Oreochromis niloticus: one gene and its partners. Each later gene encodes a partner of the first gene's protein in a complex. Links are inferred from orthologs where the notes say so. Each region holds a gene or a part of one and is shown in the gene's direction. Other genes may lie near its edges. The genes, in order: apba1a, lin7a and lin7c.

Region 1 (8,310 bases):
ACTCCACCTGCTCCATGTTAACAGATGCGAGTGGGGTCAAACTAAAACAAGATCTCCTCTTCTCCTCTCAAATTTCTCCCCAAAATGCTTTCTGACATTATTAGTAGTTCTCATGAGGCTGATTTGTCTCATAAGTTTGATTCTACTGACTAACTTGCTGTGAAACAGGTTTGCCGGTTCATCATGACCGCTGCAGTCACAGAGAGCAGGATGCTGAGAGAAGGTCAAGCTTTACTTTCCAAAACCACAACAGTTTCAAAGTGACAGTGTGAGGTATTCACCAGCAAACTGGACCAAATGAAGACGTACGTGTGTTTAGATGCTAATAAGTAATAAATACGAGAGGGTGTTAGGGTCAAGACAAATCTACATAACGGGTCATTTTGAGAAAAAAGTCCAATTTTTAGATTAGATCCGTTCTTTTTTGAGAAGGAAGTTGAAATGCGCTGATTACAGTTCGTTTCAAGACAAACTGCCATGGTTGCTATAGAGGTTTTACACATGACGTCATGGGCATGTCGTTTAAGAGCTGTCTGCCATACTGGACATGATAACCACGTGGAAAGTTTGAAAGACCTTCAGAGAGCTACGGCTCAGACGCTCTTTAAAACTGACAAAGTCTCACTCCTTGGAATAAAACTGTAACTAAATGAGGACTGTAGACTTTTACACTGTAGGCTAAATAATCTGTTGTTGGTGGATCTAACGCGTGGCGTGCAGCATCTACTCTAACAGCTGACGGTATAAGTTTGGAACAATACTGTGACTGTATTCACAATATTTGATATTATTTTATAGATAAAACTGAAACAAATACAAACTTATTTTTAAAGTAATCCACAAGTGGAAAGGATTACAGTTCGACCCATGTGATGAACATTTTCAAACTGTTTTTCTCCTTAAACACATTTTTTTACTTCATCATGCATTCCTGTGCGTTCTCCTCTTTCACCTGATTATGTCACTAATGTTTTCAAACACGTCACGTCACCCCAGAAGAGACGGGCACAAAACAGTCTTGTGAAATTCAAGCAGAGGCAGACCTGGAAGAAAAAAAAACGTAATGATGAGCAAGGAGCAGCTCATGCTGTTGTTGGCTTATCTGGACAGCAAGACAACACCGCATTAGATCAGGAGATTCAACAGGAAGAAGACCACCTCTCTGTGCCCTCTGTGTCTGATTCTCCTTCTAGATACTCTCAAAGTGTATCAACTCAATACGATATGACTGTAAATGACCTCAACCAATTAGAGAGAGAATCCCAAAATCTCAGGACGGAGAGGTTTGATTTACCATCTCGATACAAACAACTGATGTTCCTGCTGAAGAATCCTTCATACATGATGCAGATAAAGTTAAATGCTTCACTGGTTTACCCAACTACAACATATAAGTATTCATGTTTATCGAGACACACCTGGAGGATACTCAATCTCAGCCTTTCAGCAGTTCTTGCTCACCTGCATACTACTCAGGTTCAAAGCAACCATGCAGTTCCTTGGATTCATGTTTTCTGTACAGGCTTCATTTCACTTGGATTGATTTAGCCAGAGCGGGAACACATACCTTCACTGCCTATGTGAACTTTCCTAAATGTATTTCAGTTATTGATTGTTTTGAAATAGTCATCGGATTTCACTCAAGGATTTCAAGGCCAAAGCTCAAACTTACTCCCAGTACAGTCACACAGTACCATCAAGTATTTGATAGGCATTATTCCCACGGGAGCGATATTATTCGATTCTAAGGGGGGGTGCAGGACCACAGACGGTCACATCACAAGCTCCTACCCGGTGATGTGGTACCAGCAGATTCAACATTCAGGACCATAGTGGGCTGTACTGTGCTGAGGTTCACATACCTGCTTTTACTTGAGGAAAGAAGCAGCTTGGATAGTGGAACCTGAGAACACTCGAAAACTGGAATCTGTTCGAGTGGATTTGGAGCATAATATGTGATACGCTCTGCTGCAGGAGCCAGTCCCTGCAACGGGACAATGATGACTCTCATTGAAGTTTACCACACCTGAAAACATTGTACGCATTGCTTGTGCAGTGACTAAGTTTGTAACAACATAATATTTCAGATGCATTTTATCTCTCAGGTAATTGTGCATCTTATGTGATCTTTATGAAATTTAAAAATCTCAATGTATGTTCCTCAGTTTGGTGTTTTGCCCTGAACACAAGAATATTTTGTAATTCTTGTTATTTCAATAAAAACTATATTTTTGCTTCTTGGAGCTCCATTTATTTCATTACAACTGTGCAAAGTGTAAATAATATCAAAGTAATATCTCTAAATGTAAATGGGATCCTGACCCCAATTAACAGAAGTAAGAAGTAAGTCTCGAAAGTCGCCAAATCTGGTCATCGATGAGGAGTAGCCATCCTGATTTTATATATAGTCCCATTTGAACCATTTGCAGAAACTACAGATGAGGATGGACGGTATGTTCTAGTTTCTGGGAAAACTGAGGGAGTGGAAATGAGCTTTTTGACTGTATGTGCCCCAGCAGGTAATGATTTCTGTTTTTACAGAAATATTTTTGATTTACTGGTTGGTTCAAGAGGTATAGTCATTTGTGGAGGAGACTGGAACATACGGCTTAATCCCAGATTAGACTCCTTCATAGCAGTCCCTTAACCCTCCTACACAATAAGTGAGTGATAAACCTCAGGAGAGATTTAGGGACCAGCTACACTCACACATGTGCTGTATTCCAGGACTGATTTTTTATTTTAAGAGAGACCGTCACAGAATACCAAACTGCCAAATAGGATGATTCGGCATGAGCCCCCGCATCCTCAGGACCTTCTATCGCTGTGCCATTGAGAGCATCCTCACTGGATGCATCACCACCTGGTACGGCAACAGCACCGCTTACAACCGCAAAGCTCTCCAGAGAGTAGTGCGGTGCTCTGAACGGATAATTGGAGGTGAGCTTCCCTCCCTCCAAGACATCTACAGGAAGCGGTGCCTGAGGAAAGCGGGGAGGATCATCAAGGACTCCAGTCACCCTAGCCATAAACTCTTCAGACTACTTCCATCAGGAAGGAGGTTCTGCAGCATCCGGTCCCGTACCAGCAGACTGAGAGACAGCTTTTTCCACCAGGCCATCAGACTGCTGAACACGTCATAGACACCTCACCTTCACTACTGGAACTTCAACATTATGCACTCCATACTGTACATTAATGCCACTGTTTTGCACATGTCCGACTACCAACCTCTGTATATTTTATATATCTTATTTTATTGTTTACTCTATTTCATTTGTAAAATATGTATATACACACTCACACACACACACACGCGCGCGCGTAGAAAAACATATTTAGTATACACATCCAATAATGCATATACTCTTATATATTGTACATATATTTATTACTTTCAGATTTAGTCATTCTTATATTTTTGCTTGTTTTACGTTATTGTATTTTTGCACAACTCTGTTGCTTGAGAAGCTCGCACACAAGAATTTCACTCGCATGTACTGTACCAGTGTACCTGCACATGTGACGTGACAATAAAAGTGATTTGATTTATTGACTTATGTGATCATGCACCTCTACTGTTATCGTTGCAAATTAATAACAATCTAAGAAATTGATTATGGAGGCTGAATACTGATGTTTAAAACAATCAACAATTTACAGGAAAAATGAAAGAAGAAGAAATCAACAGAATTATGGTAGAAAATGACAGTGGAGAGGTGGGCCCTGATATTCTGTGGGACTGGTATGACTCAGGTCAGGATTTTGTGTGTTGTCGTTGCTCGTCACACATGAGGGTGGCGTTGTTTGTTCTCTGTTACTGTCTTTATTGTCTTGGAGCGACTGTAACAACAGAATTTCCTCAGGGATTAATAAAGCATCCTGATTCTGATAATTCCCTTTTTTAATTAAAAATAAATAAATAAAAGTAAATTATCAAGACATTGCCTATTTGCGAATTTGTTTGGAAAATGTTCAGCTGACACCTGGTGAGGTGTCAGCTGAACCACGTCACAGAATACACTCCAATCAGTGGAAGTTAAACATGAGATATAATTCAGTATTAGGTTTATTTTAGTGTTTCATTTGTTCCTGAGCAAACTGATTTAGCTGAGATGAATCTACAATTCATAACTGGATAGTTTGATTTCACTTTATTGTGTTACTGAAGAGCTTCTTATATGTGGAAATGAATCTTTCACTCATGTTTGTGCTCTAATGTAGAAATGAGCTATACTTGTTTATACAACTTATTTTGAATTAAAATTAACATTAAATTTTTTTAATACACAAAGACAGTGTGAGTATTTTCACTGAGAGCAGAAACAAGCTGTTAGAAGCTTGTTAGACACTATGAAACAAATCATCTCTCTCTAATTCAATTCAATTCAATTCAATTTTATTTATATAGCGCCAAATCACAACAAAAGTCGCCTCAAGGCGCTTTATATTGTACAGTAGATCGCACAATAATAAATACAGAGAAAAACCCAACAATCATATGACCCCCTATGAGCAAGCACTTTGGCGACAGTGGGAAGGAAAAACTCCCTTTTAACAGGAAGAAACCTCCTGCAGACCTAGTCTCAGGGAGGGGCGGGGCCATCTGCTGCGACCGGTTGGGGTGAGAGAAGGAAAACAGGATAAAGACATGCTGTGGAAGAGAGACAGAGATTAATAACAGATATGATTCGATGCAGAGAGGTCTATTAACTAATATTATCTAATAATAATATCAACTAATAACAGTAATGAACAAGACTAAAGGCAGAGAGGTGATATGATAATAATAAATTCATATAGTTTATATGGCACATGCACACGTGTTAATAAAATGTTACGAGTCAGTAACATAACATTGAGTAATGACTCAATATTTATTTCATTGAAGTAGTTTGTTTTGTTTTTGTTTTTGAACTCATCGTGGACGTCATTAGGCACAGACAGGCCTGCTCGCCTCTCCTTATAAACAGAGAATGGAAGCTGTCTCCTTCACCCACACCTCTGCTGTCTCACATGCACACACAGCACCAACTGTCAGAAACAGCTCGAAGCTCATTTGCATCTATAGTCTGTTGGTAGAAGATCACAAAAATGTCACAAAGTATATCAGCAAACATAAACACCCATCAGCACCAAACAAGAAAAAGCAGACATCAGTGTTACGAAGTCTGTCGGTCTTACAGTTGTAGTGTTACAGCTGAGTCCAGGCTTTCACGGAGAATACATAAAAGCACAGTGACAAAGAGGCGCAGCATCTTTAATTAAAGATATCCTTGTGGAGGAGGTGCCAGACCATCAATCGGAACATAATTCAAAAGAATGCAAAGCGGTGATACTGCACAGCGTTGCGGTGCAGCGTTTTCACAGTTCGTCTCTAAAGAGACTCCAGTGGTTTAGTGACTGTTTCCCCAGCAAGTGGTGTTCGTTAAAACTTATATATATACATTTTTATATATATTTTATATTGACCGGCGTGACTATATGAAGCTTTTTCACCCAGACAATGTTCTCTTTTTAAAAACGTATAAACTTTGTTATTTGTTGTGCTTTATGGTAATGTGACGGTGGCGGTGAGCGGAAGGAGGTGCTGAACGGCTGCGGAGCACACGCGCGCGCGCACACACGCGCGCACCGCTACAGGGAAGATGGAGGACGGTGTGGCCGTAACGCAGAGGACCTGCATCCTTTAGCAACATCACTCCTGTGAGCAGGTTCGTGTTCAGGACCAGGCTGTTCGCTGTAGGCTCGACCCACCGAGCGAGATGCGGTCAAAGCAAACGTCTCCGGGCTGGGCTGTTGTCATCATCATCATCATCATTATTGTTATTGTTGTTCTGTGGAGCTTCGCTACGCGGTCTGTTCACTGAGGAGTGGTTAGACGGAAAACTGCGCTCCGCAGATGAAACGTCAAACCAGGATTCAGAGTGAAGGAAAATCCGAAATGGCAGCGTCTTTGTGAGGCTGTGTGTCGGACCCACGCAGAGCGGACATGAATAAATCGGCACATAGAGGCCCTGTTGTCTCCAGGTGCAGAGCCACGGCGGGGCTAACCGGTCCATCCAGCTCGGTGCGATGGTTAGATCGTTTCTCGATGTTTCTTATTGCGTGCTTCATTCAAAGCAGGACTTCAGCTGAGCTTTTGTAAAAGCAGAAGCCGAAATCAAACAGATGTTTTGCTGATGTAGTTGATGACAGGAAAGCTGGGGGTTGTGTAGAAAATTCAGAAAATCTGGATGAAATTGGAAAATCTGGGTAGTTTTGCTTTATTCCTCCTGAAGGTGACTTCTACCAAACATATGAACGACTTCTGTAGTGTTTTAGAAAAAGATAAAGTGATGTTTGAAATATTAAAGTACAATAGTCCTCACACATGGAACCACGTGTGTGTGGCTGTCTGTGCATAAGGAGGCAAACTGAGGCCAGCACCGGGGTGGCTGATGTTCCCAAACACAAATCTCATAACAAATAAGAAAGTGTCAAATTTTTATGTAAGAAAAAAGTTCCCGCAGGACTTTGACTGTGCACTGCTGTGAATAATACTTGTATCATTAATAGTGTGTACAGGCACTTTGTAGTTTGAAGTAATTGTTTTCTGTATCATTTTGTCAGTTGCTCACATTGTTGAGGAGGAACTTTAGCTTACTCTTTTTCACATTGTTGTTTCAGTTTGTTGAGCTGTGCAGTCATTTGTTCATGCACACATTGTATTGATCTGAAATCTGGACTTAGGCATGTTGCAACACTTGATTCTTTTTTTTTTTTTTCAGATATTCTGTTGCAGATTTTGCTGGTGTGTTCAGCGTCTTTGACCCAATTTGGGCCAAGCTTTAGCTGCTGAATAGACGATCTCTTATCTGACTGTCATACTTTGATATTCATTGAGTGAATCATATTCACTCAATGACTAAGGTACCAAGGTTGTATGGCTGCAACGCAACCCCAAATCATCACCCCTCCTCCACCATGCTCGACAGCTGCTAACAGATGTTTGTAGCTCTGATGGTCTGTTTGGGTTTCCGCCAAGCACAGCAGTCTCATTGTGGTCAGACGTCTCAGTCTTGTCTGTCCAAGGAACATGTTCCAGATGTTTTTTGGTTTGTCCAGATACAACTTTGCACACCTAAGCTGGCAACCGTTCCAAATAAGACAGACAAGTTCAGTCTTTGAACTTGTAAAGCTCAAAATCCCATTGAGACTTTTCAAAATAAACTGAAATGATATACATTATTCTCAAACATCAAATTTCAGAATACGCATCAAACAAATGACCTCAAAGAAAAACATAAGGTAAATGGCGCTTACAGTCGACGCCCAGCTGAAAACACTTCATGCAAGTCGAGTTGCCTGAGATTCACTGAATTTACAGAAAATAAACTATTTTGTGATGTATATCGTTATCGGGATTAGAAATGTCATATTGGGATATGAGATTTTGGTCATGTCGCACAGCCCTACCAGTGGCAACAAAACTTCTTGTACTTTTCTATTTTTGGTGTTGGATTCTTTTCAGCATACTTTGGGTTGCGTGACAAGATTACCAGAGGAAAAGACTTGTGGTGTATTCAGGCTCGAGGAGCCTGAATTTCTGATATTTCTGAAATAAAGGTTTAAAAGATACCGAGCTGTGGTAGGACATACAATGTGCTTTTACTCATGTCACACCTTCTTAGTTTAAGTGGCTTAATTATATTTATGTAGTTATTATAGTTTTATATAATTAGAGATTGTTTTTATTTTATTGGATTTTGAAGCTCTTTGAACTGCACTAACCTGGATGAAAAGTGGTGTTGATAGAACATCCTCCATGCTTACTGTTACAGTATAACATTTTGACATGTAATGTTTGCAGTATAGCTCCTTTTTAGCTCCTTCAAACTGTTTCAGTGACTGAGTGTTGCAGGTACTTGGGCAGAAACAGCCAAAGCAAAGAGTCCCAAACAGAGTAAGGTATTGTTACCGGTTAGATTAGGGCTGTTCGATATAACGATATATATCGGATGACGATAGAAAAACGTCTATCGTTTCATTTTACGCTATCGTTTGTTTCGTGGTGTCGCAAAATAAACTGTTTACGGCAATATTTTTTCATCATTTTGATGGTCACTGTAGTGGCTATATTAATTTCCTAAAGTTCTCTCTTTCTCTTATATTTAATATAACCACACTACGGAAGGACAAGCGCTTGTTTTTTATGCGTTTTCGTTAGCAACAACGACAGTAAAACCACGGCGTGTCCGCTTGTTTATTTTCCACATAAACCTTTCACAATAAAGCTCAAGATCCTGTTGAGGCTTTTCAAAATAAAAC
Region 2 (7,948 bases), on another chromosome or scaffold:
TCATAATTTGGGTCTTTTTTCTTAGCAGATATTAACAATAAAGAAGAAAGCTGAGGTTCCGTCATATGAACAACAGAACAGTAGATTAACAAACTCATGGTTATTTCCAAACAAGGGTGAGTTTTTGTACTCTACTCTTTTTCCCCCCCTGGTTATCCACACATCCAAAGTTTGGAACGCCCAAACTTTGAGACCCACTCACAAAAGTGCATCCTGACTTGCCTTAAAACAAAACTTTAAATGTGAGATTCATAGTTTACACAACAGCCTGGAGAAGCGGATGCACATCACCATCCTTCACTTGGTTGTTCATACACAGGAAATTAGTTGCATCAACTTGTCTCGTTAAAATATAAATACAATTTTAAAGAATTATCTGTCACATGTTTTTCAAGATGATGTTTTTTTCATTATCTGTCTGGCACCGCCTGATGGAGCAATATAAGCAACCGAGCTGCTGTGGAAAAGCAGCCTGTCATCTTAACACAAAATATCCAATAAATACTTTATTTTCGAGACGTTATCGCTCAACAGGAAATTTTCATCTTTTTTTTTCCCACTGTGGCATGCCGGATGGATCACAGTCAGTGCGGCACAAGGATTGGAATCGATGGTTGACAAATTTAATAATGGCCTGTTTTAATAAGCAGTTGTTACCTGGAAATGAAACCCATGTTATCATTTAGTGAAATACTTTACTTATTTCCCTACTGTTTTAGAAAAGCTTTTCTTCCTGTGTCAACATAACAAAATCTAACCTTTATGGATTTTATTAGCCTTTTATCAAAGCCATGTGAGTGATATTGATCTTTTTTATGAATGTGTTGCAGGAAAAGGAATAAGGTTCCAATTTTTCCCCAAATGTCCATATGACCTTACCTGTTGAATTCAATTTGAATGGGTACTGATGGGAATTGAAGATACAAATAGAACTTGCACACTGGCTAATGCTCTGAGCTTTGATCTGCTAGGCAAACAGTCCAGCCGTCTGTATTTGCCCTGTCCACATGGCCTCTTGCATCTCCTTCCGTGGAAGTGGAGGCATTTCAGAAATCAATTCACTTGCAGCTTTGTGGCTTAAAGACCAGTGCGGCATAATCCCAACCTCTTAAAAAAAGCAGACCTGTATTCCAGCCCATATAGATGGAAGCCTGTAATCTCGCTGTGCCCTCTTTCTGTGTGCTCTCTAAGCCCTCGCCCTCTCTATCCGTCCATGCAGCCTACCACTCACCACTATTTTGCATCTGCACACAGCTGGGTGGGACTGTTGGTGGACTGAATTCGCTTTTACTTATGGACTATGTATTTGAAGAAGCATGCAAGTTTAGAAACTGTTTAAATCAAATGCAGAGGAAGCGGTTAAACATTTAAAACATTAAACATTTTAAACATTTTATTACAATTTTTAGATATAGCAGCCAATTTGAAGTGAAGTGAGGTAAAGAGGTGTAGTATTTGCCTCCCAGCTGGGTGTAGACTAAAACATTTAGTGCAATGCATGACAAGATAAATAGGATTTAAGTAAAATGTCTGTGTTTATGAGCCTGGGTTTTGCTCTGAACAGCTGTGCACATGTTAGTATAAGTGCTAGTCCTTGCCTCAGGTGTGTATTGATGTTTACAACTTGCATTTGTCATGGCGAAGTCACGGTTCGTGAGCCATGTGACACGTCATGCTGCCTTAGCATCCCTCCAACCTGGGAATCTCTTCTTATTTCTGTTGAGCATGGCTTCTGTCAGCTGTAATGACTGCCCATGTATGAGACACGCCAAAGCAGCAGGCGCCATTAGGCAACAGATCTACAGTAAATGAAGAGAGCCAGCGGTTTGGCACCATTCTGTGGTAGCACATAAACATGAGGATTAATTCTTAAGCCCTTCAACGTAGGTTCACTACCGTCATTCGGTCCTTATCTGGCTGTATGCAGTGCATGTAGCCAGGAGAGAAGATAACAGGCAGTATAGCTCAGTGGTTCACAATGAGCCTTCATGGCAAGCTTGGTTGCAATCACCTGATCTCTGAAGTGCAAGGATTATAGCTGTGTAAGTGTTCATGTGTGCACAAAACACACATGTGTGCATCATTGTGAGATTCAGCATGCAATCCAGGTCCAGCTGGTTGACTGCAATATGGTGAAACTTTTCAAATACATTACTGTGACAGATGGAATACCAATTTTGACTGTTTTTCAACATATTATTAGCTTAATGACTAAGGTCCGCCATCCCTCTTCTTTTAAAAGGTATCTTATGTGTCCCATGAGAGCACTAGTCAGGCTACCTCTTGTTTTTATGAGCCTAAACTGAGTAACACTCCTGATGTCAGCATGCAGAGCTCTCTCGATATTCAGGAGTTTAAAGATCTATCTTTTTAATTTGGCTTTCAACTTGAAGTACTGAAGTGCTATATCTTTATGCTTAGTTGTTAAGGTTGTAATGTATGTTTTTAATGTCAGTTTTGCGTATAATTTCATTTATGGGCTTGCCATCAAAAGCACTTTGAGATGCCTGCTTTTATCAAAGACACTTAAGTTGAGTCGAGTCAAGTAGACGGCAGTGAATAGAAAATCATCTTGTAGTAACGGTGACTAGGTGTTACTTCAGATTCTAGTGTTGAATCATGGCAAAGGTAATGCCCTTCTATGTGGTGTTTGGTTATTCTCCTCACACCTCCGTGGCCTCCAACTGCTCCAGTTTGTCCAACAATCAAAACATGCTGGGTTAATTTTCTTGTAATTGTGCCCTTGACCAAGGCACAGGCTTGAAGCGTGGAGTTGATCCCATGAGCCCACTGCCTCAAATACTTAGGATGGGATAAATGCAAAGAATTGCTTTTCCTACAGGGAAATAAAGGGTCTCTCACTCTGTGAAGGCCATGAGAGGCTCCAGCCTCCCTGCAACCCTGAATAGGATAAGTGGAAGAAGATGGCTATGATAAACTGTAAAAAATAAACATGTTCAGTAATATGTGGACTTAAATCAATTCAAAGACGAGGTGTGCTCTGGCAATTTTACATTGTCAGTATTCACAAAGGCAGGTTCTTTAAGAAATGGCTCACCCTATTTGGTATGCAAGAAGACAGAGTCGTGCACAGAGTCCTGACTGTAACTCTGTCCAACACTTTTGTGGTGAACTGGACTGCCTGGAAGCAGGACCAGTGCTTTTCACAAAACCTTTTGTGATTACGTAAGAGTAGAACATTGCAGTTAAGTTCCCAAACGCTGCTGAAAACCCATCAAGAAAAGGGAACTCTGTTATCACAGCTGCGGCCTATATCCTGTTTTTTAAACAATACGTTCAACATTAAAACTTAGAATACAACATGACCCCATTCTCTGTTAAACTTACCACATTACTCTTTCTCCTGAAAAGCTGGACGTCTTTTATTTATTGATTTCATTCATTGAGATAAGCTTACATTAACTCAATTTTTCAAATTAAATGTAGCTTGCAAAACGAAACGAATCATATGATTGTCAGACTGCAGTGCTATATGATCAGACGTTTTGTCCCCCTGTTGGCCATTAGAAAAAGTGCAGAGTATGGCAAAGTTTTCACAAGTCCATATTTTATATACAGCACATGATTAATCCAAAGATTGTGTATTAAAGATAAATCTAGCCACTGTGACCTCTCAGAGCCCTGTTGTAAAGCACGAAGGTGCTTTGAAACCAGATGTGAGGAATCCCAAAAGGATGATTCTGTTCATCTGGACGTAGCGTTTTCATCCAGATGAACAGAATCAACCTTTTGGGATTTACTTACCTGGATGATTGAGCATGCATCAAGACAGATGTGAGAAATATGTGACACTAAGATACACTGCATCCTCATAGGCAAGTGATTTGTAAATCATTGTAAAACATACCCTGCTTTAGTCTACCTTTTTAATCTAAAGAAGTCCATAGTTATTCAATCGAACATTATGGTGTATTCAGTGAGGCCCCAAACTAGCATTTGCGACCATAAACTCATCGGGAAACAGTTTCCTGAGATCACAAGTTAAAGCCAAGGTACTGGTGCAACCATAAGAGTCTCCCCCTGCTGGCCATTAGAAAGAGTGCAGTTTTAAAGAGCTTCCAACACTTTTTTTGTAGACAATATATTTTTGATCTAATGTAAAGAATTTTAAAAAATTAGTGTATTTTTTGGTTTTTATATGTTATCAAATTAATTTTATCCAAATGATTTTTTAATTTTTTTTTAAAAAGCCAAAAAAAACCCCGTGAATACTATTTTTCATTAAGAGCGTAAAACAGCAGCGCATAAAGCGCAAAACAGCTGATAACAGCACCGGGTGACGGAGATGGATGGAGATAGTCTAATCCTCTCCCAGCCACTCCCAACCTCTCTCTCTCTCTCTCTCTCTCTCTCCCTGTGATGCTGCAGCTCCTGTAGGCTCTTCAGTCTCCAGTAAACAGCAGTCATGGCGACAGTGGTCCAACCGCTCACACTGGATCGAGGTAAGGCGATCGGAGCTTTGCATTCTGTGCATGTCACCGGAGAGATTATTTTCAGCCTTTTTTTCCCCCAAAAACTTGAGCGAGGATTTGGTTAGATTCTGATGTTTTCTGTTTTTTGGTGAGTGTTTGTCCAGCTCGGATTTCCTACACATCGTCTGCGCGAGTCGCTATTTCAAGGCAATATGAGCTCTGGCTTTTCTAAATAAAAGCCCGTCGGTTCCGTCCGTGTATTTTTCCAGACCGGAGCGCTCAGTTCTTTCGTCAAACTACCGAGGGGGTTTCTGCGAGCACGAACATCTGGAAATTAATACCCTTAAACCACTTACAAGGGGTCTCGTTTAATTTCATCTGTATTATGTAACCCCTTTGGCAACATTGTCCCGTTAAAGCTCGCTTTTTGATCTTCATCTGGCGGAGACAATAACGCTCAAATCCTAAAGCGCCTTGACACGAAAAATCTACTTTGTTAGACGGGAGATAACTTCTCAGGCTATCTGAACTGGACAGGTGCAAGACTGGCTGATTGGTTCCCTCATCAGGGTGTAGATGTTGTGTTTTGTACTTGTTGGAAGCGGTGTGCAAACAAACCGCAGTTGAGGGTTAATGTTGTCCTGTGATGATGTTGCCTAGCCTGTTTTGTTAAGAGCTGTTAGTAATTACAGACTTTGTAACTTAGACACACATTAGTCCCCTGATCTCATTCATAAGATACAATAATAATGCATGTAGGCTGATAAAATGTTCATTTTCCCACCTAAAGATGCTGTACAGATATTTAAAATACACTAAGGTCTCTCGTAATATAGTAATTCCTCTGGGAGATTTGAGGAAGTACAGAATGTCCTGTACACTTGAGAAGATGCCCTTTACATCTCAACACTTTTATGTTAAAGGAGTCGCATATTCAGACCAAATGCAGATCCGCTGGTGAAATGTAATATTGCACAAGCCTTGCATAGGGAATGGATACTGTCAAATATAGAGAAAGGAGAGAAAGGAGACACCTTAACGCTTTACTCTGTGCCAAGTAAAGCCAGCGTCAGCTCTCCTTCCAAGCCACACGAGGGACTTATATAAATACTCTTATTAATTATTCTGTAGGGATTAATCTGACTGATGTCACTCGTTATTGGTGATTTAAGTAATTAACCACATTAACATCTACTGCTAAAGAACACAATTTTTTTCCCTTCCATATGTTCAATTTGTTCTTCAATGAAATTTAATGTCTGAGGGCAGTGAAGCTTTACAGGTGCACAATCTGCTGGGAAGCTGCAGAAGTGCTGTACATGCAGAGTTAATGAAATGAGCCACAGATTGAATCCGGCAATGAGATAAACAATGCAACCTAAGCTTTTCCCACCCATGTCTCATAGTAGACTATAGATTTATTTTTTAAAAAAGAGGCTCTGCTAAGCTGATAAATAGATTTTTAAACAGCAAGGCAAGGAGCGATGTCCTGCAACTTGATAAATTGTCAACATTCAGCCATGTCTGATCTTAGTCATTTGCTTGGGCAGTGACTCAGCTGTGACCTTCGTGTGTACACACGGGGCCTGATCCATACCCACAAGCTGGAAAATGCAGCTGTAATGGCACAAACAGTAGTAATGATAGTTTCACGCAGGAGCTGTCAGAGGCAGGCAACATTATAGGCTTCCTGTCCTCGGATCCTGCCACTTTGGTGAAAACACTATAATTGCTAATGAAAAGGTGCACTCCTCTCGTTTCTGGGTGGAGGCTTTTGCTGCCGAGTTGCTGAGTTTGTCAAATGCACGCAGGGAGAAAAGGAACAGAGATGTTCATTTCCAGAGCTCCCACTTGGCTTGCGGGGTCACAGCAGGATGAAAAGATATTACATCATTGGCCTTCCTGTTATTGTCAAAGGAAATGACTGTGATAAGCAAGCACCGTCGAGAACAATGGATTTGAACCTCGCTGTATAATAAAAAAAGAAGCCTTTTATTCTCAGTAGATCTGGCATTTATGTAAGTGCAAACTGACACACCCCGGAGATGAAAACCTTTCTGTATGAAACAGTGAGAGCAGAGGGCACTGTGACTGAAACTTCCACAGATAAATTTAAACATCTATCAGGTACGGCTAGGTGGCAGGACCCAAATGCAGGACTCAGAGACAATGCTGTAGCTTGAATGCTTGAAGAAAAAACAAGGATACAAAAAACCAGAAACTCCCAGAAGCAGGAGAACAGGAAACAAGGACGTCAAAGATAGCATGAGTGGACGATGCGACAACGAGCAGAGGAAGACTGAGGACTAAAATGCACACAGGATAACGAGAGGATGGGCAACAGGTGGCAACACAGCTGGAACTAATGCAGACTAACAGGACAGGGGAAGCAAAACTGAACGCGCTGTACACTAGACACGAGACTGTCAAAATAAAACAGGAAGTATGATAAACACGGAGATGAAGACTAATCCACAGAGGCTTGACTCGGGGACCGGGGAGAAACAGACATGGGGAGATGACTGACTGAGGAGACAGAGAGGGAACATCAGACACAGAGACAAGAGAAAAACAAACATGAAGACGAGACTGACTAAACACATGAGAAGACTAGACACTGCGAAAAAAACTCAAACACCACACAGAACTAAAGGCTAACCGAAGCATACTTAAAACATGACGTAAATATAACTATGAACCTAAGAATCACATAGAATATTCAAAAAATAAACTGCATATTGTTCAGAAACTTAGTACCAGTACCATGACAACGCCGGCAACCTGCATGTTTCCAGTGAAATGCTTACTCGCTGATGGCAGGATAATGCTGGCCACGTTGTCCATTTCAGTTTGGTGTGTTACTTTGTGTTACTTGTTAACTGATTGTTTTTTTGTGAGTCATATTCATTATTTTATAATGGTCTGCCTGGTCCAGAATTCAGCTCAGAAAACATTGAACTAATAAAGCTCATTTGCTGAATTGTAGTCCTTCCATTTAATTGCATTAAAGTCCTTCACTTTATAAAAAATGTCTGGAATGTCCAGCCAGCAGGGGTGACCACGCTGTGTCTAAAACACTGCTTTTGTAGACATCTGTGAGAATACAGCCTCAGTAAACACTTTCCTGATGAATTTCTGGACTAAATTACTAATTTCAGGATGTATTGATTAAAACATGAAGTCAGTTTTGTACGATATTGTCGTTATTGAAGTCAGAGAGGAGGATTGTCCATACTCATCAGCAAATGACTTGTAATTTTAAGTTGCTAGCCAGTGAGTATAAAGTATTCTTAGTTTCACAGTCAGATCCTCTAATCACTCTTTACCTGTTGATTTGAAACACAAAGATGGTGACAGTGACAAAGGATCCATCATCAATCCATGATGTAATGGCAGCTACCGCTATCTTTCATTTACAGTCTTTAATTGAGCAAAAAGTTGATGGAGATTTTCATCAGTTTAACCAGTGAATGATGTGCAGTAGACACTTGGCATTATGTAGTTGGTGTTAACAA
Region 3 (8,774 bases), on another chromosome or scaffold:
TTAAGAATGAAACAAATGCTTTTAAGGTGGGGTTTCGCTCCTCCCTATACTGTAAAGGTCCTTGTGTCCATTCTGTGAGTGGAGGCTGGAGCAGGGGCTCGCTCTCGCCGTGTTTTCCTGTGTCAGGCTCGGACATGCAGAGTGCAGTCAAAGCCTCGGCCAGGCTATTTTTAAATGAGCCCCTGTGGAAGGCAAGATCTAGATTTTTTTTTTCTTTTTTTAAAAAATTATGGGTGTTTTTAAATCTATGTCCTTTGGATTCATTGATTTGCTGTGAATCTTAGAGCTTCTCAGAGGTAAGGGACGCACACATGCTCAGGTAATTTTACAATATGTATGTACAGTGTTTCAGTTTGGTTTTGCATATGTTTTGAGTTGTTCTCCAGAGCCTCGATAGCAGTGCTTTGCACGGCAGGATATCACATCATTCTGTCATTCAGTTTCCTGTTAATTCATCCCGCAGTGCTCTCGCCTTCCACCTGCCGAAAACAAACAGTGTCCCTCAACAAACCCATAGTTCCCATTCATGACTACAAGGTGTAGTACCTGACCCGTCCTACAGCACAGACCAGTTTTTTTTTTCTTTTTAATAAAGTAATACTGCAGCATCAGTGTTTGCCAGCGCTGACACAAACACACTGACTCTGTTAGGAAGTGCTGTCCACACCGGAGGTTCCCGAAGTGTTAATACTGGTGATTTGTTTGTACGGTAACGTCACGGTCGCGTATTCGTAACGCGGGTTGGGGGGGCGGGCATAAATCCATCCACAAGAATTCAACAACTACAGGATGAAGTTTAAGAATGAAAATCCTCAATTTCCTTACCCAAAAGCAGGGGGGCAGCTGTGAGCTTTCAGTACAGCCAAAAAAAAGGAAAAAAAGAAAGAAAAACAGCCAATTATTCCAACAGAAAGCCATGATTGGCAGGTGTGGCCATTATAAATATACACGGCACCGTGCCTTTTTAACAGACCAGTCAAAAAGCTGTTAGGATGTTTCGACATCTATTTGTGTAATCTTATCTTTTGTAATAAGCAGCCGCTCTGATGCTCAGCACAGCTTTTGTGCATTGCTGCCAACAAATAGAGATCTAAGCCAGACCTCACATAGGAACAGAATGATTACAGTTTGCAAACAATTTGAAAACACCGATGACACAGTGCCAATATCAGTTTAATAAAAACATGTTGTGATTATTCCGAAGCTACTGGCTCCAGTTTTTTGGCTCGCAAACAAAGAGTGGAGGGTGGAAATAGGAGGAGAGGCTTACGTGGTGCATTATGGATCAAAAATAAGCTAACTTTGTTGAAGATGCTCTTTGACTGACCATCTCGTTCTCTCGCCCTCCCCCAACCCTCCTCTCTCTTCTTGTTTTCTTTCTGTGTCTCTCTCCCGTCCCTCCAGTTCCACCAGGTTAGAAGAGTGATGACCATCCTGTTCCTTACTATGGTTATTTCATACTTCAGTTGCATGAGAGCTGCGCCCCTGAGAGATGCCCCGGGCATGCGGGGCCATCGGACGGAAGGCTACTTGGGCGCTGCTGCAACGGCCGAAAGAGGCCACGGGACTCCCCAGAGCGGTGGAGGGCCAGGCCAGCGCGGGGAACTGCCCTCGCTCACAGACACATTTGAGCAAGTGATAGAGGAGTTGCTGGAGGTGGAGGGCGAGGCGGCGCAGCTGGGACAGGGGGCCGATAAGAGCCAGGGAGGTGGTGGCCCATCCTCTGTAGTCACCACGGAGGCCAAGGATGTCGATCTGTACAACTCGCGGGTGATGATCAGCAACCAAGTGCCTTTGGAGCCGCCGTTGCTCTTTCTCCTGGAGGAATACAAAAACTATCTGGATGCCGCTAATATGTCCATGAGGGTGCGGCGACACTCCGATCCCTCACGACGTGGAGAGCTCAGTGTGTGTGACAGTATTAGCCAGTGGGTGACAGCTGTGGATAAAAAGACGGCAATAGACATGTCCGGGCAGCAAGTTACCGTCATGGAAAAGGTCCCTGTCCCCAATGGCCAACTGAAGCAATACTTTTATGAGACCAAATGCAACCCCATGGGGTACACAAAGGAGGGCTGCAGAGGAATAGACAAGCGGCATTATAATTCCCAATGCAGGACAACCCAGTCCTACGTGCGAGCGCTTACCATGGATAGCAAAAAGAAGATTGGCTGGCGGTTTATAAGGATAGACACTTCATGTGTATGCACATTGACCATTAAAAGAGGGAGATAGTGTATAAAATGTATAGATTTTATTGAAGAGTTTAAAAAAGAGAATAAAGAGAAAATATCTATTTGTATATATACATAACAGGGTAAATTATTCCGTCAAATGAAAATTTTATGGACTGCATGTAAAAAAAGATGAAGTTTATACAGTAAAAGTGATACTACAGTCTATTTATTGAACATATTCATGACCTTGTAAACAATTAAAAAAAATCTGATCAGTCATTTGCGCCCAGTTTAAATTACTATGTCACATTCCTCAAGACATTGTGATTTGTTTAGGTTGCCAAGAATTAGAAAAGGAAGGAAAAAAATTAACAGGCAAGAAATGAGGGAGAGAGAGACAAAGAGGGAGACAGAGAGAGAGAGAGAGCGAGGACAGTTCCATCTTCAAAAGCTTGCATGCTGCTTCAATTGTGAATCGATAAATTCTCCACTTACAGAAAAAAAAGGATATGATGCTGACCAAAAAAAATAATAAAAAAAACATTCCGTTTACATATTCAGCAGAAAACAATTTCCTCTCAAGTAATTTATCTGTTTACTGTTCTAAACTTCTCAAGGTAATGTTGGAATTACATACTATGTCAAGGTGCTGTTGTCAAAGCTTTGCTGTTTATTTTTTTATCCCCACCAGAGGACAAGATATATATATAAAAAATTATATAAATATATATATATATATAAAATTTATTCATTGACATGTTTCTGGGTTAATATTATTCATTTTGTATGTTGTGAAGTTGTTTGCAATATTAAACTGAAATATTTGAAGAAATAAAAATGACTATAGGCAACTGAAAAACAAAATCAATGTCGATAAAGTTTCAACGGTGCATTTTTAGGCAGGGTAAACTTTATTATACGGACAGTCGGCAGGCAAGGAGGGAGGAGGCACATATGCACACATGCATGCGCACAAACCGCCACATGTCCGAAGCATGAAAGAGCAGAAATTCAAATCCTGAGCAACAAGAAGTGATGTTTTAAGATAAGAAAATGAGTCCTTGCTTTGGGTCACTCACAGATAACCAGTGTTAGAGTACAGAAAGCAGCTCCTGGTGTCATTCAGCTACTTCAGGAAGGAAAAGAAAACGGAGAAAGAGAGAGGAAGTGCCCCTAAACCGCTTCCTGCTCCCCACCAGCACATTTTTTCAACACAAGTTTATGTGCTTTGGATCTTTGGTGTTCATACACAGGTGTTCAGAGCTTTTGCTCCAGCTGCACGTGTGATGTCGCACAATTACGAGACCCTATTAACACAAGAAAAGGGCCTACGCGTTCAAGTGCAGACTAGTACAAGTGGGTAGACTGCCTGAGCTTGACAGTGATGGATTCAACCACCCATACATTTGTGTACATTAAAAATGTACACCCAGCGTTTTGTTATTAGTGCGCTGTAATCCCAGCTTTAACTCCTCCACAATAGGACAATCACCACTGATTTTTTTAGCTCTAAAGTCACTGTGATCAGAAGGAGAAGCCGATCTCCATAACTGGTTTGGCACCTGGGTTAAAAGACTGCCGAGGCTTTATATCAACTTTCTCCCTCGGGCAGATAATAACTCATTGCAATGCATGCCTGCCAAGTCTGGATTCCATAGCTTAAGGTTTTAGTGGGAATACAATAAAATATGTTCAGCGTCTCATCTTCGTTACATAAAACATTTCCAGAACATACTGCAGAAAGATTAAAAACAACAAAAATGCATAAACAAAATTTCTTCAAAACACCAGCGATCCCTTATGAATGAACACAATCACCTCATTTTACCACGCCTCCATCAGCCTGAAGGTAAGTGCAAAGACAGCCAGATCTGAAGACGGTGAAGGAAAGATGGGCCAGTTTCTTCACTTCCCTGCTTGGACCCTTCACAGAAGCCTGATGATGATGCTGTGAGTTAATATCATTAAAAGCAAAAAAGATACCGAGGCTTCTGCAACACAAACAGTGGGAAGACGAACAATATCATAAATGATCTGGTCTTCAAGGAAAATCCACCTGAAGGTATAAATGGGAATGATTTGGTAAAATTCAAGCACTATCCCGTCCTCAGCACGTAGGACAATGAATCAGCCATTCAACATTTTAGATAAGATGATAAGGATGTGTTTTGTTTATCATGAGCATGAGCCTTAGGCTACTATTTTTTACAAAGTTCAAAAAAATAATCTGCCAATCATACATTTAATAAAAGAGTGCATAAAGGGAGGCAGGGTGAAGCCCGTGGTGTTTTTCAGTGTGACCATAAATCAGGCATATGAGTGAATCCTACAATCTTTTAGGAAAACAATGGGCCTACTGTGTTAAGAAAAGAACAAAAGCTGCTGCTCACCAAGTCTTTAAGCGTGTCTACTTTATGCCACGCCCACATTCGTGATGTCACATTAGGTATTTTTCATCACCTGTCAAAAGATTTGCGTTTCATCACCCACTGGGGTGTGGTCAGGAGTGAATCATGCTCTAAAGTTTCAGGATACAGAGAAGCAGTGCAGCTGCAGTTTTCTGCATTCATGGAGGCTCAAAATGTGATGCAGCTCACCAGTAGGGGGTGGCAGAGAGAGCGCTCATATCAGACGTCAACAAAAAGCCAAATAAACCTTCTTCTGGTTGGCCCTTGTTGTGGCAGTACATATTAATGTAATCGTCCTTTGAGCTATGTCTGTGGAGGCTGAGCGAAGATGTTAAATGGAGTTCTCCACCCCTCGGGTTGTTAAATGGTAATATGGAATCTGGGTTTGGATTCTAGCCAACGAGACCTTCAGTGGGCTATATGCATGGCACAAAAATATCCCGACTCTCATTGTCAGCATCAGCAGTAAACATAATAAAATCAAACCGCTGTGCTTAAAACTAAATCTGGCATTACTAATATCCAACATTTGAAGCTGCTAAGGTGTACGTTTGGACGAATTAAAGAAAGGACATTTGTACACTAAAGCGAGGTGGAATATTGGTAAATCTATGTGGCTTATGTATGTATGATATATCATAGTTTTACACCAGTAGTCGTCTAGTAAAAGGATAAAGTAACAAATACAAACGCAGTGACTTTAAAATGTGATTGAACATTCCGAGTTCACAGTTTTACGAGGTTTCCCTGAACGCATCATGACACTGGCAGCTAGCCTAGCCGGCTAACTTGGCTAATCTGATTTATCGTCTCAGTTAAGCGCACATAACGCCAGCCAGGATTACCAAACTTAGTTTTCAGTATTTTTCCTTTTAGCGAACTATCTCCCTAACGCCAAACATCCTCTCATTTCAATAATGGCATCGCTTGGGGAGCCCGTGCGATTGGAAAGAGGTGAAGTTAATTAGCTAGCTAGCTTTAGCTTAAAAATATTTGTTGTGATATGCGGGCGACATAAACCTAGCCTAGCTAGCATTAGCTCATTAAAGCAGGCGGCTTATTTTTGTCTGTGTACTCTGTTTTATGGTGGGATAACGATAGAGTAGACATCTTGCGGTTAATTCTTGTATGATTATGTATATATAGTCACCCAGCTAAAGAAGCCACAGCTATTACAGCTACATTGTTGTACTTAGCACATTAGCCACCTAGCTAATATTAATGACAACAGACAGTGATTAGCCAATCTGGCTGGTTTGTTCACTGTATCTTACCATAAAAGAAAGAAGATTTTACAGTTACGCTGGTTGTATCATTATATTAATTTTTGCGGCCTGTCTGTAAATAACATAAGTTCTGGGTGTGTGTTGCTGAAATGTGCAGAGGAAGCCCAGATTTGTGTGTTAGGTTAAACTTACGGGTTACACAAGTAAGTACACACGTAAAACTTCACGATTAGAAATATTTAATAAACTTGCAAATGCTTATGAATTCATTGCTATTAAAGTAAGCTGTACATTCGCAAAAACAAAATAAAAAAAACAAAAACGTGATGCCTGCTGCCTCATCCCGTCAGGGGTGGTTAAATTTACTTTATAAAAGGGGTGTTACTCTGAGAGTTGCTTTATTATTGCATTATAGCGATTTGTACTAATTGTAGTATGTTCTGGTGACCGTGGGAGACAAGCTTGTCCGGAGCATATCTATAATAAGAACAAATATAGTGCAAGTAAATGTAAATTGTAACAGAAAAAAAAGGCTGCAGCTTTAAATGGGTGCCGACTGTGCTCTGACGCTGATGTGGGTAACTCTCACTGCCAATGTTAACATCTACATTTGCAGGCCTCAGTAATGGTTATGTACATGTTCTTGTTGACAGATATCAACCGTGCTATTGAATTGCTTGATAAACTCCAGAGGACAGGGGAAGTGCCTCCCCAGAAGCTGCAGGCACTGCAGAGGGTCCTACAGAGTGAATTCTGTAATGCTGTCAGAGAAGTGAGTCTCTTTCATCTTGTATCATTCAAAACACTTAATTAAGAGACATTAGTTTACAGTTTGGAGCTTAACCGTCTGCATCCCAGTAGAATTCCCAATAGAATGCTCCAAAATTAAGAGAGTGGAAGTCTGGTTAAAAGTTAGTTTAAATTTTAAGGTCACTAATAGCGCTTTCTAGCTATATATGACCATTTAAGATTTGTACATTTATGTTTTCAACATCTCTTTACCATTACCTCTTTGTCCTCCTCTTCTTCATCTGGCACATCCACCCCTCCTCTCTGCTCCCTAACCTCCAACTCATTCTCTTTTTCCTCACCTCACGCCTCATCTCCTCAACTGAAATCGAGACTCTAACATAATAAAACGTGCATAAACATACTTATTCGTTCGCGATAATATCACATTTAGTTATCATCAGCAGATTGGGTATGTGGCCCTGCCGCTTTGGGACAGCTGATAGCCAGACGGCTATAAGAACAACAGCTAGTGTTATACCAGATAACGTTAAGCTAGAGAGTCTGAAAAATCACATTTTCCCTTTGATAAACATTTTCACATCATATAAGTCCCCTTTTACAAAGCTTTGCAGCCTCCTCGAAATTGATGTGATCGAACGCTGTAAATAGTGGACTGACAACCATCACTATTTACAGATGTACGTCAGCCATAGTGTGAAATAAAATGTAAAATATTGCAAAATACTTAAATTGCACAGCCATTTCTTTTTTCCCCTGATTTATTGTTAAGTGTTGACTTAACTCAAATTGTTAAAGTATACTGTGTACAAAAGTGTTTTTGACAGTCGTAGAAATATGCTGGCTGCCCACAGCTGTTATGGTTATAGAAAGTTAACCCTTTGGTTTGGTTTGAATTCTTTGTGTTCGCCTGTTGAAATATTGTCCACTAATGTCTCCTCAGGTCTATGAGCATGTGTATGAAACAGTGGACATCAACAGCAGCCCCGAGGTCAGGGCCAATGCCACAGCAAAGGTAGACAGTTGTCAGTTACTGTCTGAACACAAGATTTGGTCTTTTTGTAATCTTAATTTCAGACATTTAATTTCTTAAAATGGGTAATTTTGTGCTTTGACTGCAGTACATACAGACGAGATATCTAAACACCACTTTCCTATTTGTAGGCTACAGTGGCAGCTTTTGCAGCAAGTGAGGGACACTCACATCCACGAGTTGTGGAACTGCCCAAGACAGAAGAAGGGTTGGGTTTCAATATAATGGGCGGAAAGGAGCAAAACTCACCAATTTACATCTCACGGATCATCCCAGGAGGCATCGCTGACCGACATGGAGGCCTGAAAAGAGGGGACCAGCTTCTCTCAGTGAATGGAGTGGTGCGTTTGAATTCACAGCATGGTTTACATTTTAGACTGAGCCTGAGCAAATTCTCTATTTCAGATTTTTTTTTAAACAGGCAGATATTAGAAATAATACATTCTTCAAAAAAACTAATGCACAGCTAGATTTTGTTTCAGGATTTAAAAAAAAAAAGGAACTGCAATAACCGTGCAAAAATCTGGGGACCCATCTACTTGTAAAATCCTTGTTTCTGAACTTGTTACACCATAATTTATTAATGAGAACTTGTAAGGCAGGTCAACAACTCTCCCACTCGTCAAACTCTTCTAGTAGTGCCTTAAAATGAAGCTTATTAAAGCCTAGTAAACAGGGGAGTGCTATAAGAAGATATCAGCTTGTAGCTTGGAGTTGTTGGCAACAGTTTGTCCATCATAGGGAGTGACAGGATTCAATCAGTGGAATTTGCATCAACAAAAAACAAAATCAATAAAATCCCCTGCCTGTGCTCACCTGTGCTTTTTTTTATGTTCAGACTTACATCATCATGTTGGTTGATTATTAGCCATAGAGTCTGACAATGATGGCCATTTACCAGCTAAACCTTCTTCAGTAATCCATATTACCAGTGAGCTGGCACGAAGCAGCTGTCAGAAAAAAAACCTCAGAAACCCTGTGGAGTCTTTGGCGTCTTCTTGGTGCGATGGAAAAACATTTCCTTATGTCAGTGACAGGAAGCTGTCAATTTTGTATGTTTAGAAATAATAATAATAATAATGGTAATAATAATGGTAGTAATAGTATATTGATGTAAATAATGAATGTGTCAGGTTCCTCTTGTAAAGCTCTGGAAATGTTAATGTGTTCAACATGTTTG

Evidence for each region.
Region 2: apba1a (region 1) and lin7a share a complex: the UniProt entries of both Homo sapiens proteins name them as parts of the brain-specific heterotrimeric complex. The link is inferred for Oreochromis niloticus from reciprocal best matches to the Homo sapiens genes APBA1 and LIN7A.
Region 3: apba1a (region 1) and lin7c share a complex: the UniProt entries of both Homo sapiens proteins name them as parts of the brain-specific heterotrimeric complex. The link is inferred for Oreochromis niloticus from reciprocal best matches to the Homo sapiens genes APBA1 and LIN7C.

The regions. Positions count from the first base shown.
Region 1 is NC_031977.2:993,289-1,001,598, forward strand, and holds the start of apba1a (amyloid-beta A4 precursor protein-binding family A member 1), read left to right. Parts: upstream 1-4,762; 5' UTR 4,763-5,714; intron 5,715-5,733; exon of another isoform or gene 5,734-6,078; intron 6,079-8,310. UniProt on the Homo sapiens protein: Putative function in synaptic vesicle exocytosis by binding to Munc18-1, an essential component of the synaptic vesicle exocytotic machinery. May modulate processing of the amyloid-beta precursor protein (APP) and hence formation of APP-beta.
Region 2 is NC_031981.2:15,758,979-15,766,926, forward strand, and holds the start of lin7a (protein lin-7 homolog A), read left to right. Parts: upstream 1-4,325; 5' UTR 4,326-4,426; coding exon 4,427-4,463; intron 4,464-7,948. UniProt on the Homo sapiens protein: Plays a role in establishing and maintaining the asymmetric distribution of channels and receptors at the plasma membrane of polarized cells.
Region 3 is NC_031965.2:17,987,519-17,996,292, reverse strand, and holds the start of lin7c (protein lin-7 homolog C), read left to right. Parts: upstream 1-5,325; 5' UTR 5,326-5,502; coding exon 5,503-5,539; intron 5,540-6,464; coding exon 6,465-6,583; intron 6,584-7,504; coding exon 7,505-7,576; intron 7,577-7,725; coding exon 7,726-7,935; intron 7,936-8,774. Other genes in the region: neurotrophic factor BDNF precursor form, read left to right, coding at 1,405-2,235. UniProt on the Homo sapiens protein: Plays a role in establishing and maintaining the asymmetric distribution of channels and receptors at the plasma membrane of polarized cells.